Linked DNA regions of Arabidopsis thaliana. The protein of the gene in region 1 interacts with the protein of each later gene in a pairwise test. Each region holds a gene or a part of one and is shown on either strand. Other genes may lie near its edges.

What was found. Proteins that work in one complex are often made in the same cells at the same time.
Region 2: the proteins of AGG2 (region 1) and XLG2 come close enough for resonance energy transfer, tested with the Arabidopsis thaliana proteins (one study listed by BioGRID).

What each region holds. Positions count from the first base shown.
Region 1 is NC_003074.8:8,132,126-8,137,269, reverse strand, and holds AGG2 (G-protein gamma subunit 2), read right to left. Parts: upstream 3,194-5,144; 5' UTR 2,796-3,193; coding exon 2,676-2,795; intron 1,955-2,675; coding exon 1,902-1,954; intron 1,822-1,901; coding exon 1,777-1,821; intron 1,688-1,776; coding exon 1,603-1,687; 3' UTR 1,066-1,602; downstream 1-1,065. Other genes in the region: ARFC1 (ADP-ribosylation factor C1), read left to right, coding at 547-906; AT3G22940 (F-box associated ubiquitination effector family protein), read right to left, coding at 4,564-5,144. UniProt on the Arabidopsis thaliana protein: Guanine nucleotide-binding proteins (G proteins) are involved as a modulator or transducer in various transmembrane signaling systems.
Region 2 is NC_003075.7:16,439,016-16,445,801, reverse strand, and holds XLG2 (extra-large GTP-binding protein 2), read right to left. Parts: upstream 4,717-6,786; 5' UTR 4,224-4,716; coding exon 3,183-4,223; intron 3,090-3,182; coding exon 2,952-3,089; intron 2,860-2,951; coding exon 2,755-2,859; intron 2,673-2,754; coding exon 2,514-2,672; intron 2,434-2,513; coding exon 2,286-2,433; intron 2,173-2,285; coding exon 1,937-2,172; intron 1,829-1,936; coding exon 1,665-1,828; intron 1,557-1,664; coding exon 962-1,556; 3' UTR 796-961; downstream 1-795. Other genes in the region: AT4G34400 (AP2/B3-like transcriptional factor family protein), read right to left, coding at 393-479; AT4G34380 (Transducin/WD40 repeat-like superfamily protein), read right to left, coding at 5,480-6,786. UniProt on the Arabidopsis thaliana protein: Guanine nucleotide-binding proteins (G proteins) are involved as modulators or transducers in various transmembrane signaling systems. Binds GTP with specificity. Plays a role in the root morphogenesis by regulation of the cell proliferation.

The sequences.
Region 1 (5,144 bases):
TCTAGGGACGTGTTTTAGAAGTTTGAAACTTTATGGATGTTTCTTAAATTTGCCATTGCCATCTTTTGATTGTGTTATTGTCCCTAGCTATGTTTCTTGCTTGGGTGTGTGCATTTTTCTCGTTGAAAAATGGATGATGTTTTTGTCTAAGTTCTTGTCATGATTGGTTGAGAAGGTGTCAGAAACTCATAATGAACGTTTTCGTATGTGCGATTTATGGTTTTGTATAGTAAATTTTTGTAGATGTTGTTTATCTAGCTTGTTTGTTATACCGGAGGAACTGTTTGCTATTTCCCATTAGCTTAGTTTTTTTGCCAGAGGACTGTTTGGAACATCTTTATACAGTGGTCAAAGTCATGGCCTGAGATGAATTCATCTCTGTTTTATGACAATCTGCATGTGTTCTTATATGTCAAAACTCAATGATGAATATAAACGTAACTAAACTTACTAAAGTTTGAATTGTTTCCTGTCAAAAACTAACTGTTGGACACTGGCAATCGAATATTTGAGGCGATGTTTACTTTTATGATATGTTGTCTTTAGGTATGGGATCTTGGTGGGCAAGATAGGCTAAGAACTTCATGGGCAACATACTATCGTGGAACACATGCTGTGATTGTGGTTATAGATAGCACAGACAGAGCCAGAATCTCTTTCATGAAAGATGAGCTAGCCAGGTTACTTGGTCATGAGGATCTTCAAAACTCGGTCATACTAGTTTTTGCAAACAAACAGGATCTGAAAGACGCAATGACTCCTGCTGAGATCACGGATGCACTTAACCTTCACAGTATCAAGAACCATGATTGGCATATTCAAGCAAGTTGTGCGGTTACTGGAGAAGGATTGTATGATGGGCTCGGTTGGATTGCCCAAAAAGTTACCGGTAAAGCCACGAGTTAAGGGGAAACCAGAACTGAATCAGAGAGAGTACGTACTATTCTTCTTTGTTTCTTTTGTCTCCTTCATATGTTCTTTAACATTGTATCCTCTTGACTTTTATGTAACAAGCTTCAACTATTTTGGTTGCTCTCATTGAAACTGTGTCCAGAATTTTCATATATGGAAGAAAAAAATCTTGTTTTGTTTCAGATTTAAAACTACCACCAAACTCAAAATCCAAACGAACTAAAAACAAAAACAGAGCAACCATTAAAACAAGACAAGACACCATTGTAGCCTCTCTCAGAGCTCACCACAGTCTGCGATAACCACCGGCTTGGAAGGAATCCTGTTCAAAGTTCCAACCTCGTCTTCAATGCTCCTGAGCACGTCGAGTCCTTCAACAACTTGCCCGAACACGACATGTAAACCATCGAGAAACGAGAACTTTTCCAAGACAATCTGGAACTGAGATGCATTGGTGTGGGGATCACCGACGGCCACTGTGCTAGATTTTCTTGTGGTGGCGTGAATTTGGCACTGTGGTCTTCTTAAATTAAGAGACACATCAAGATCAATAGATTTTTTACTGCACAAATGAATCAATTTTTTTTTTTGCCAATTACATCAAATTCACTGCCGCGGGAACGTAAAAACACAAACTCACTCTTCTGGAAGAAGTAGAGACAAAAATATTTTGAGAGAAGGAAAGGAAGATCAAAGAATGGAGCAGCCACATCGTTTTGCTTCTTTAGGGCCTTCGAACCATTGATCCCATGTCGCATTCACCGGACCTGTTGTTCTGCAAGTAGTCACAAAAGCAAACATATCAGACCTAATCATCTCACAGTCTATTGAAATGAAACTATCAGAAAACAGAAGAAGAATTACTCGGGAAGAAGAGGATCGGGTTTGCTGTCAACACTGTCTAAGAACCTGCATCCATTCGAGAAACTAGTCAAGCTTGTGGAATGATTATTCGTGAACCGGATATCAGTTATGTAACAAGTTCTTACTCTTTGCAGGATGCTGATGCATTGTCCATCTTCTCAAGCTGCTCCAGCTCTTCCTGAATATAATAAATGAAGGAAGAAAGTTAAAACCTTGTAACGCTTTTAAGCAAGCATTTGAGTTCACAAATGTCATAACAGCTACGTAGACAAGAGCTTAAACCTCAAGGGATCAAGAGTCAAGATATTATTACACCTGAATGAAATATGCTCAAGAGCTTAAACTACATTTCAGTTTCACTCCTCACCATTCTTGAACCTTCCTAATTACTGACCCTGGTGATTTGTTTTATCAACAGAAGCATATTGTTCGCAAAGGATCTACTCTCTCACTCAAGTAACATTTAGCATCACAAAAATCTCTTTAAAAGGAGACAGTTCTACACTACATTTCTTAAAGTCAGATCGATTCCATTAATCTAAGATCCAATCTTGTTAAGCATATAAAAAGGAACTATATCAAGAGACAAGTACTATTAACTCACTAAAAGCAACCCCACAATACCAACTGCTACAACAAAACCTGTTTTTTTTTTTTCACTCATTGAATACCAACAACAACAAAAACCCCTAAATCAAATTGATTCCCAAAACTAAAAAAGTTTCAAACTTTGAAAGTCTCTACCGTACTCCACTCAGATTTATACTATTCCATCCAAAAAGAGCCGAAGCACAAAAACAACAGATTGATCCAATCTGTAATTATATGATATAATCAGCCAAAAGGCCCAAGCACGTCGAAACAAGAAAGGGTTTAAGATTAAGAGGAGAGTAAAATACCTCTAAGAATCGAGCTTCTTGTTCAAGCCTTTTGAGTTCAGCTTGAATCCTGTGTTTGCCTCTTGTATCAACGACCCGCCCGGATAGCTGACCCGACGAATTGGAGCTACCCGCTTCCATCAAAATTTCTCGAATTCAACCCTCAAAATAAAAATCGAAACTTTAACAAAAACAGATAAGAACCACAATTTTACTCAGACTAAAAGATCGCCATTTGAATATGGGAAACTCATAAACCTTCACAAAACCCCATTTGTTACTGGTTGGATACAAAAATTACAAGGATTCAGAATCAAACAGATCTTGAGAACTCCAACAAACAAAGAGAATAGAAGCAAATTTTATGAGGGGGCAAATAGAAAATTCAAAGTTATGAGTTGGGGAGACTTGAAAAAGAGCTTTTCCGATGATCGAAAGGCGAGAGAAAAAAATATATATAAAAGTTGCGATTTTGAAAAAGACGAAAGTCGACGGAAATAAGAAAAACAAAACATTATTTCAGTCTTGATGGCCATAAACATAAAACTTTCTTCTTGAAACCTCAATAACTCATGTTTATTTTTTTAAAAAGTTAACCAATCATAAAATAGACCATATAATATATATATATAATTATAAAAATAAAAAAATCTATAATTTGCATAAAATTTTGAAAACATTCGAAACAAAAATTTCTCCAAAACACTTATATTGTGAAACTAAGGGAATGTTATTTTCATACTAATCATCTTGCACATTTTTCTTTCTTTATATATTCCCCATAATATTTTATTTCTCGTCATGATCGATCATTCCATGGATCCACATTAATTATCTTTAATCCAATATGTTTTATTATTTCTAGTTTTAACTTCAAAGCTTTTTTTTTTTTTTCTCAGCACATATAAGAATTGATTTTTATTTCCTAATTAATGATGATCCCCATTAGGCCATTATGCACCAAGATCTTCTAAAGAGATACATATCGGACAGAAGAATAGTCAGAAGTACAAATGGTCTGGTTTAAAATATTTGCTACTCAGAAGGTGAGGCAGATTTGACTGAAGAAGATGTTTATGAAGATAACGACCTAAGAAGAAGAGGATGTGGAAGACTTCCAAGATGTCAAAGAGTAAGAAGTTGAATATATATCCCAAAATGGTGGATGGTAATCTTTTAGTTTGAGCATGAACAACTTGCTCTTGTCTTTGATGTTTCCAAGGACTGATAATGCACCTGACCCTCTCACTAAAAAGACTCTGCTACTGAAATTCTGCTAGATAGATATATCGACAATGCCATCTAGTCGAGTCGCTGGTTCGGTTTTAAAAACTTTGTAGAGACTAGGCCAGATAACAGAAGCTATCTCTAAATTATATTATCGAAAACCTGAGGTTCCACCATCTTTAAATTTTAAAAATCTGATTAATATCATGTCCTTTAGCATGAAGCCATGTAATATATATATTTTTTTTTTTGATAAGAATGTAAATATCATATAAAATGAAAGTTTAGGAGTTACAAGAAGCAAAACCTACAAACATGGTCCCATGCCAAAAAAAGGAAAAAAACATGGAAGCATAATCCTTTCGAGATTCATCGCATCAACTAAACCTTAAGCGATGAGGCTCTTAGTAAGAAGATGAAGAAAACTCGATCTAAAGACTCCCCTAAGCAAGAAAGTGGCAACAAAAAAGAGCGGTCTAAACTATTGATCGACAAAAAAGCGCACAGGAAGTCCTTTCAACAATGGCCCGAAACAAACTGAGACGGAGCTATACGGGCAAAAATCGGCTGGCAATGCTTTCTCACTCTACCAAGCTCCTGATGAAGCCATGTAATATTTAGTAAAGTATCAGTCTAAAACATAGCAGTAATAAATCGAAGTACGAGCCAAGAAACATAAATCTTACTGTTGATGACATTCAAGTGACATACTTAATGTCCAAGAACTTTGGGTTTTAAGTGCGCGAAGTTTCGATATGTTTCGAACATATTGACGCTTTTCTAACTTGCTTTGCTGTTTCCTTTGGAATCCTGCAGGTTTCTTGATTTGCACTAAACTCGGAACATAAGAGCACACAAGTGGGCAACGTCTTTTATTAACCGGTTCTCCGAGATCAACTTGTCCACCATATCCAGCCTCTCCCATGATGTGAACTGTGTCGCCGCGATCCAAAGTTTTATCAAAAATCATAGCAACTTTCTTCTCCTCGTCGATGAAAAAACTACCATATGTCAGTGAACTCGGAATCTCATCACCCAAATCAACATTCACTGTCAAGAACTTGCTCCACAATACCTCATTGGCCTCAATCTTAATCGTAATCCAAACCTCAACAACATCCTCGTGACAAACTAAAGCCGCAAGCTTCTCCTCTCTAACACAAGCTAGAGTAACAACACCATCCAAATCACTAAACGGCAAAAGCAGAAGCGGACCAAACCTCTCACTTGTGAAATCAAAACAGATTATATGATCAGCATTGA
Region 2 (6,786 bases), on another chromosome or scaffold:
TCAGCATTTAGAAGCAGAACAAATGTTTCTATTCATCAACAGAAAAAGAAAACAAAATCTGAGCAAAACTACTTTATACTTTGATGAAATTTAGTTCCAGTAACCAAACATATCCAGTGTTAAGTCCATAAATTAAGCTGATTCATACAGAAAGTTTAAATCTTTAGTCAGAAAAAGGAAACCAAAGGGTAGGAATAAGAGCAAAACCCTAGAAACAGAAAAAGCAAAATCTATAGAGGAAGCTAAATGCAGATAAACACAGTGTTTGTTTCATAAAAACCATCAGACATAGTTCAAAGAAACCACTAGGCTAAGAGAATCTACCCAGTTCAAGAATCGTTTGCTCATGAACAGATAAACCTGAAAGAAGAAACCTCGAGAGAAAATCTTACCATGAACTCTGAGCTGAAATGGGAGACGAAAACAGTGAAGAAACGTGGAGGGAGCTGGAAATCATTGCTAGCCATTGAAGAGGCCATCTTGGATCTGTGTGTGAAGAGAGTGAGTGAGAGAGAACGAGTGAAAGAGAAAGAGAAAGAGAAAGAGAGAGAGAAGAGTAAAGAGAAAAAGTAAAGCTAAAATGTTGTATGAAGAGAGAGTACCTTACCTTGACGCTTGAGTCAAATCAACGTTTAAGTTTTTGCAGAGAAAGGAGGTACAATCCTCAGACCCTCGTATTCTGCGTGGCCATTTCAAATTATTTTCTTTTAAACGGTTTGATCTCCCAAACTGAACCGATAATTTATTGCTACTCCGGTCCAGTTCAACCTCAATAACCGTATAAGTAAATGTCTGTTAAACCGGGAAAATTCACTTTATTATTTCTCTATTTTTTTTCCCCTGAAAAATCAATCACATGAATGTATCTTCACACTACTACATATACAACAAACATACACACAGAGAGAGAAACAAACTTATGTAATTTCCACAAAGAAAGAAAGAATTTTAGGAAAAAATATCAAGAGGACGAGCTGGCCTCTATGCTAGTAGTAGACATCTCTTGGAACATGGAAGTTTCTTCAACATGCCACTTGAGAATCTCTCTCGCATACCTCAGTGCATTGTCCACAGTATCACTCTCCAAGCTCACTTGACAAACAAACAATTTTGGCTTAAAGCTCCTTCCACGCATATTTACGGGTTCCAAGATTGAGTCATAGAGTCTCTTGAACTTATATCCAATGTAATGGAAAGCACGCTGAGCCATTGGAGGGTTGTGTCTGCTCGTCTGGTTCTGGCTGATCAATGGGTTGAAGTCTTCAAACCACTCACAGGTTCTTAGAGGAACCTCTTCGATCTTTTCTTCTAGGAGATCAAATTTGGTTAGAACCAAAAGAAACCTTTTGTTAGCTAGGCTCGGGTGAGTCACCATGTTCTCGAAAAGCTGTTTGGTTGCAAGCATCTTGTTCACAATATTCCCCTCACCGTCTTCTATGTTTTCTGCATAGTCTGTTAGTGAGACACAAAATATCACCAAGTCAGCGTCTTCAAACATTTCCAGCAATTTCCAGTTTTCACCAAGGCTTCTCGGATTTAGCCGGATGAGTTGGTACCTAAAGAGAGAGAGAGAGAGAGAGAGAGAGAGAGAGAGAGAGAGAGGGTAAGTTCAACGGTTTTTCATATAGCCGGAATGCAACACAAGGAAAAAGAACAGAACTAACTTCATGTCTGTATCATGTTGATAATCGCTCTCAAGAGACTCTTCTTGAGAAGTTGATGGGAATGAGAAGTCCACACAAGAAAGTCCTTCCATAGAGGAGAGTCCTTCCGCTTGCAATATGTCCATATCAGAAGGATCGTATTCTGATCTCGAGATCTCAAGAATCTGAGAAGAAACAAATTTGGGTCAGTCATCTTTTTCCCCTTAAACAAAAGTGTTAAGGTCCTGAAAGAGCGTTTATATATGCAAGCAGGCAACTTGATGTAAACTTACTCTTTCAAGAAAATAAACGGCGTTCCTGGGAAGTGTATCGCGAAGTCTTTTGTAGGTGGCTTGAATAGCTGGTACTCTCCAGAGATCTGCAACGGTTTGAGCATTCTCACGGCTTGATGGTGGAAATATCTTCAGGTTTCCGTCTTCCTTTTCTTTCAAAACCCAATCTGAAAAATGTTTTAGTCTCGGGTTGATCGAGTTACCTGGTTTTGCACTGGTTTCATCTCCCACATTGCCTAAATCCCAAGAACTCGATCAGTCTTCCTCAATAATCAATTGTTAACTGATGTTTGTATTAGAATATGAATGCATTCTTATTCTAATAGTTTGTACAGTCAATAATAATTACCTGAAGACTGGTCATTGCTCATCTCTTTTTCAAATCTTTCATGTGCCTCAAGAACCATTGCCAGATAGGTATAGAGATTTGTTTGGATTATGAATTTGATTCTTTCACGGTCTTCTAAAGAGAATGAGACGTTGTAGAGAGACCTTGCCTGAAACAGAAGAAGTCAATTCCCGATTCTTTACTAGATGTGAAACATTCAAGTGGGAGGCATTAAGATGAATAGCTCACTTGTTTGTAAATTGTAGTGGCGCCACCTTTTTCGCTACCAATCAAAAGAAGCTTGTTAAGCATCTTCTGCTCATATAAGGGCACATCATATGGTTCTACTGCAGACGAAGCCGGAGGAACTGGCAGAGAGAACACAGCGCAAGCAATTTTTGCTCTCTTCTGTAAAAATAATATCCTTCGTTGTCTTTAGTTTTATATTTAATGTTGTGAACGAGAAAAGCTGGTGATCAGGAAACCATACCTTACTCCAGATGTTCCCGATGGGATGCTTTTGACCTTCTTCTCGGTAAGAACCATCTGAATCGACCCAAAAATGAGGTTTTCCTTCACATTGCACCCCCGCCCACTACATCAAAGCAAAGAAGCGCTCAGTTCAGAACAATGACACATACACTAAGCATATTTGTTATCCAAAACAAAGGTGAAAAGCAAAAGAACCTTGAGCATCGTGAGCTCTGGCTTGGTTATTTCCCGGCCATTAATATAAATTTCAGTGTCTCCATTGCTTACTTTCTCACTGATGTATCCTCCTATGCTGTTGTTAGGACTTATAATCTGACTAGGTTTCTCTCCTATCTGATTAAATAAACACATAGAGGCTCTGATTTAGCTGAGCACTCAAAATACAATCCCGATAATAGATACGCAGACATATATAAGAAACTGTACCTTTCCCCAGTAGCCAGCAACCTTATCATACCAATAGTGTCCGGGTTTTAGCTTCTTGGGTGGATTTGGACATGTCTGCAACGTGTAAAGCTCATCTTCACTTAAAGGCTTGTCATTGACAATGATAAGTCGTGAAGGCAATTGATTCGCCTTGCAGGTGATCTCGGCATTCATGACTTGTCGAAGTTCAGAATCCGTGAGATGGCGCTTGAGCATTCTTGAACACTTTCCGAGACTTGCTCTCTTGGACTCATCAATCCTATAACCAATGCAAGCTTGACACTTTCTTCCTTCGGGCATCGCACCCATGGCTCTGCGCACACAGTTGAAACAGTATTTGGCATCGCAGACAATACAGACTTCCTTCTCAGTAAACCGGTTCCCCAACTGGCACCGGTAACACGATCCTCTTTTACCTTTCCTTTCAGCTCTATGCGTTGCAGCTATACTTTCTCCATCAGAAACATAGGAGCTCTCATCACATTCACTACTCTGAAAAGGTTCAACGAATCTCACTGCTCTAGGTCCCACATCCGAAACTCTGTCATCATCTAAGTGATCCTCCTCTCTCGCTGATGCAGACAATGGTGATGATGGTGATAACCGAAAATCAGCAGGACTTTTCACTTCTTCTGGTACATCCAACCTCTTTGATGATGATGATGATGATGAGCCAGAAACAACATCACGCCCTATCAAAACCACACTAGAACCAGCTGCAGAGTCAACGAAACCGTTCTTCTTCTCTATTCCAGAATCAGGTGGTCTCTTGGTATCCTTAGTCATAACGAGAGGTGCCACTGGGTAAGAGATACCACTCCGCAAGGAAGAAAAGGAAACGGGAAGAGCCGTAGGAATCTGATCAACTTCAACGGGAAGAGCTCGTGGCACATTAGCAATAAGAGGACCTTTATACTCACTGGCGAATGAATATTCGATTCGATAGCCACTACTTGTTTCATCATCATCGTCACTTTCTCGATTATCCCTTTTAGGATTCGGTGATGGGAAAGGTAATAACTTTCTTATAACTGCAGCCATCTTCTTACCCAATCAAGCACACATACAAACCCAAAAAAGCCCTAATTCCTAAAATTCCCTAATTTAGAAACTTAACAACTTATCCGAGAAAACGAGAATTCATGAAGTGATAATATACAGATCCTAAGCCATTAGTGGCTTAAATAATCAAATCACAAAGCGCGTGAAATAAGAACGCAACTACAGAAATATAGAAAAAATTGATCACAGAAAGCTCCTTTAGCTTAAAGAAAGAGACGAAATTTAGTTTTTTTTTCCAGGAAAGTGGCGATGGAAGGAAGAAAAATCAGCAAATAAATTTTCCGGGAAAAGGGAATTTGCAGAAGAAGTAAACAAAAAGAAGAAAGACAGAAAGATGGGTTGGATCGTATACACTAGTAAAAGACGAGGACTTGACAAAAAAAGGGGAAGACTTTCTCTTTGTTTTTTATTTTCTCTGCAATCAAAAGGAAAAATGAGTTATTTTCCGGGAAAATTCTTGCCGTCAACGCGGGTTAGGGGAGTTGAAAACGATGCGTTGCGAAAGGCGTTGATGGAGTCAAAGAGAGAGGGCAATTTCGTAAATATATCTTCGGTCCTGCAATAATGTTCGCATAACCCGAATTACACGGTTAATAGAAAACCGGAGGTGTTGACCCTATTTAAGTATTTATCAAAGAGAGGCGCAGAGACATATATGATGATCCCGGTTGTGGAAATGTTTTCGGTTAAGTGATTGAATAAGACTTTTTTTTTTTTGCTCATAAAGATAGATTAGGTTTAAATGGTAACAGTAAATTCACAAAGATTAGTAATTTCTAACAACTTTGGGTGGATATTTCCAGGTTGGAAAATCAATTAAAAAATATCAACATCCTATATTATAATAATATAGAAAGACTAATTCTAATGAAGAGGAAAACGACTCATCCAAAATTCCAAGTTATAAAGTTGCAACCACGACATAGACCACTAAAGAAAACAAATATATATGTTTGATTCGGTCTTTGTTCTTGTTATCTTACAAATTTATGGAAAATAAATAAATAATTCAATTTCGTTTCAAACATTTTTTTTAAAGAAAAAAATAACCAAAAAACTCATTACGTGAAAACCATTAACCCGACTTTGATTCTCACACCAGCTAGCGTGGCACAAACCTCTCCGTTGACTTAGTCATAAAAATGAAATCAATCCTCTGTCTCTTTCCCGGCGTGAATATGGCTCTCGTGACGACGTGACACTCTCGTAAATAATCACACTATGCTCCTCCACTCTTATTTTTCCACATTGCGTGAACTCCACGCGCCACTTCCTTCATGCGGAGACGAAGAGCTCTTCCGCTCTGAAGATGCTGCTGGCTCGTCCATCTCCTTCCACGTGGCCATTCTCTCCGACACGCGCCACACTTTCACCGACTTGTCCAAACTTCCGCTGTATATAATCCACTTCCGGTCTCCCTCGGCCACTGAGGCTTTTGCTCCCTGATGACAAGCCCGTTCCTCCTCCACGGCTAGGCACTTGACCGGCCCCATGTGTCCCGTCAAAACAGAGAGACACTGATGGGACTTGTCAGACGGGTCCCGCCTCCATACGCATATGTTCTTGTCGGCGGAACCACTCAACAGCAAGTTCCCCGCTATACCTAGACAAAGCACTGCGGATTTGTGGCCTTTGAGTATTCCGCCTGTGAATGACCGCTTTGAACGCTCCCAATAGTTCACTAGCCCGTCCGAAGAACCGCAATATACGATGGAAGATTGTGATTTTACGGCCAACGCCGTGACCGCATTTTCTTGCTTGAGCAAAACTTGAGCTAACGTATGTTTTGTTCCTTTGCCTTGCAACTCACGTTTCCACACTTTAACAGTACCATCTGCGGATCCCGTGAACACCAAGTCATCAAAACCGGACATTACAGAGTTTATCGCGTCATCGTGTGCATGTATCGATTCCAAACATTTTGAATCCGCGATTCTCCACACTTTGATTGTCGTGTCCCAAGAACTCGAGTACAACAATCCAAGCTCCACGTCCAAGCTAAGACTAGACACTGCGTCGTTATGCTTCGTCTTCACAGAGTTTCTGTTGCGGCGTACCTCCATGAAATGCTTAGGGTTGACGGAGCTCTTGACCATTGATTTAAATGTTGGCAATGTTCCAACCCGCTTATGTTTTCCTGGTTTTCTCTTCGAAACCTTCCAAATCCGGATCTTCCCGTCTTGATGGCCGGTAAAGATTCGGTCTCCGAATATCACAATGGCCTTGATTAGCCCACTACTGGATTTAAACCCAGCGTGTTCCTTCAAATTCTTCCAAACCCTAATGTTCTTCGAATCCGAGCCCGTGTAGAGAAGGTCACCAGAAGCGGCTAGCGAGTATATATGCCCTTCTTTTCTAACAATAGATCCAATGAGACCGTTGGTCTCGAGGACATTGTCTTCGTTGAAATCTGCACCCCAAGGAGGCGACACGCGGGCCCAAGGCGACATTACGCAAGGAGAACCTTCTCCGCTGGCCGGACCGCTGCTCATGGTCGAGGCCGAGACGCTGCTAAACCGCTGGTGAGTCACGTTGCTGTTGA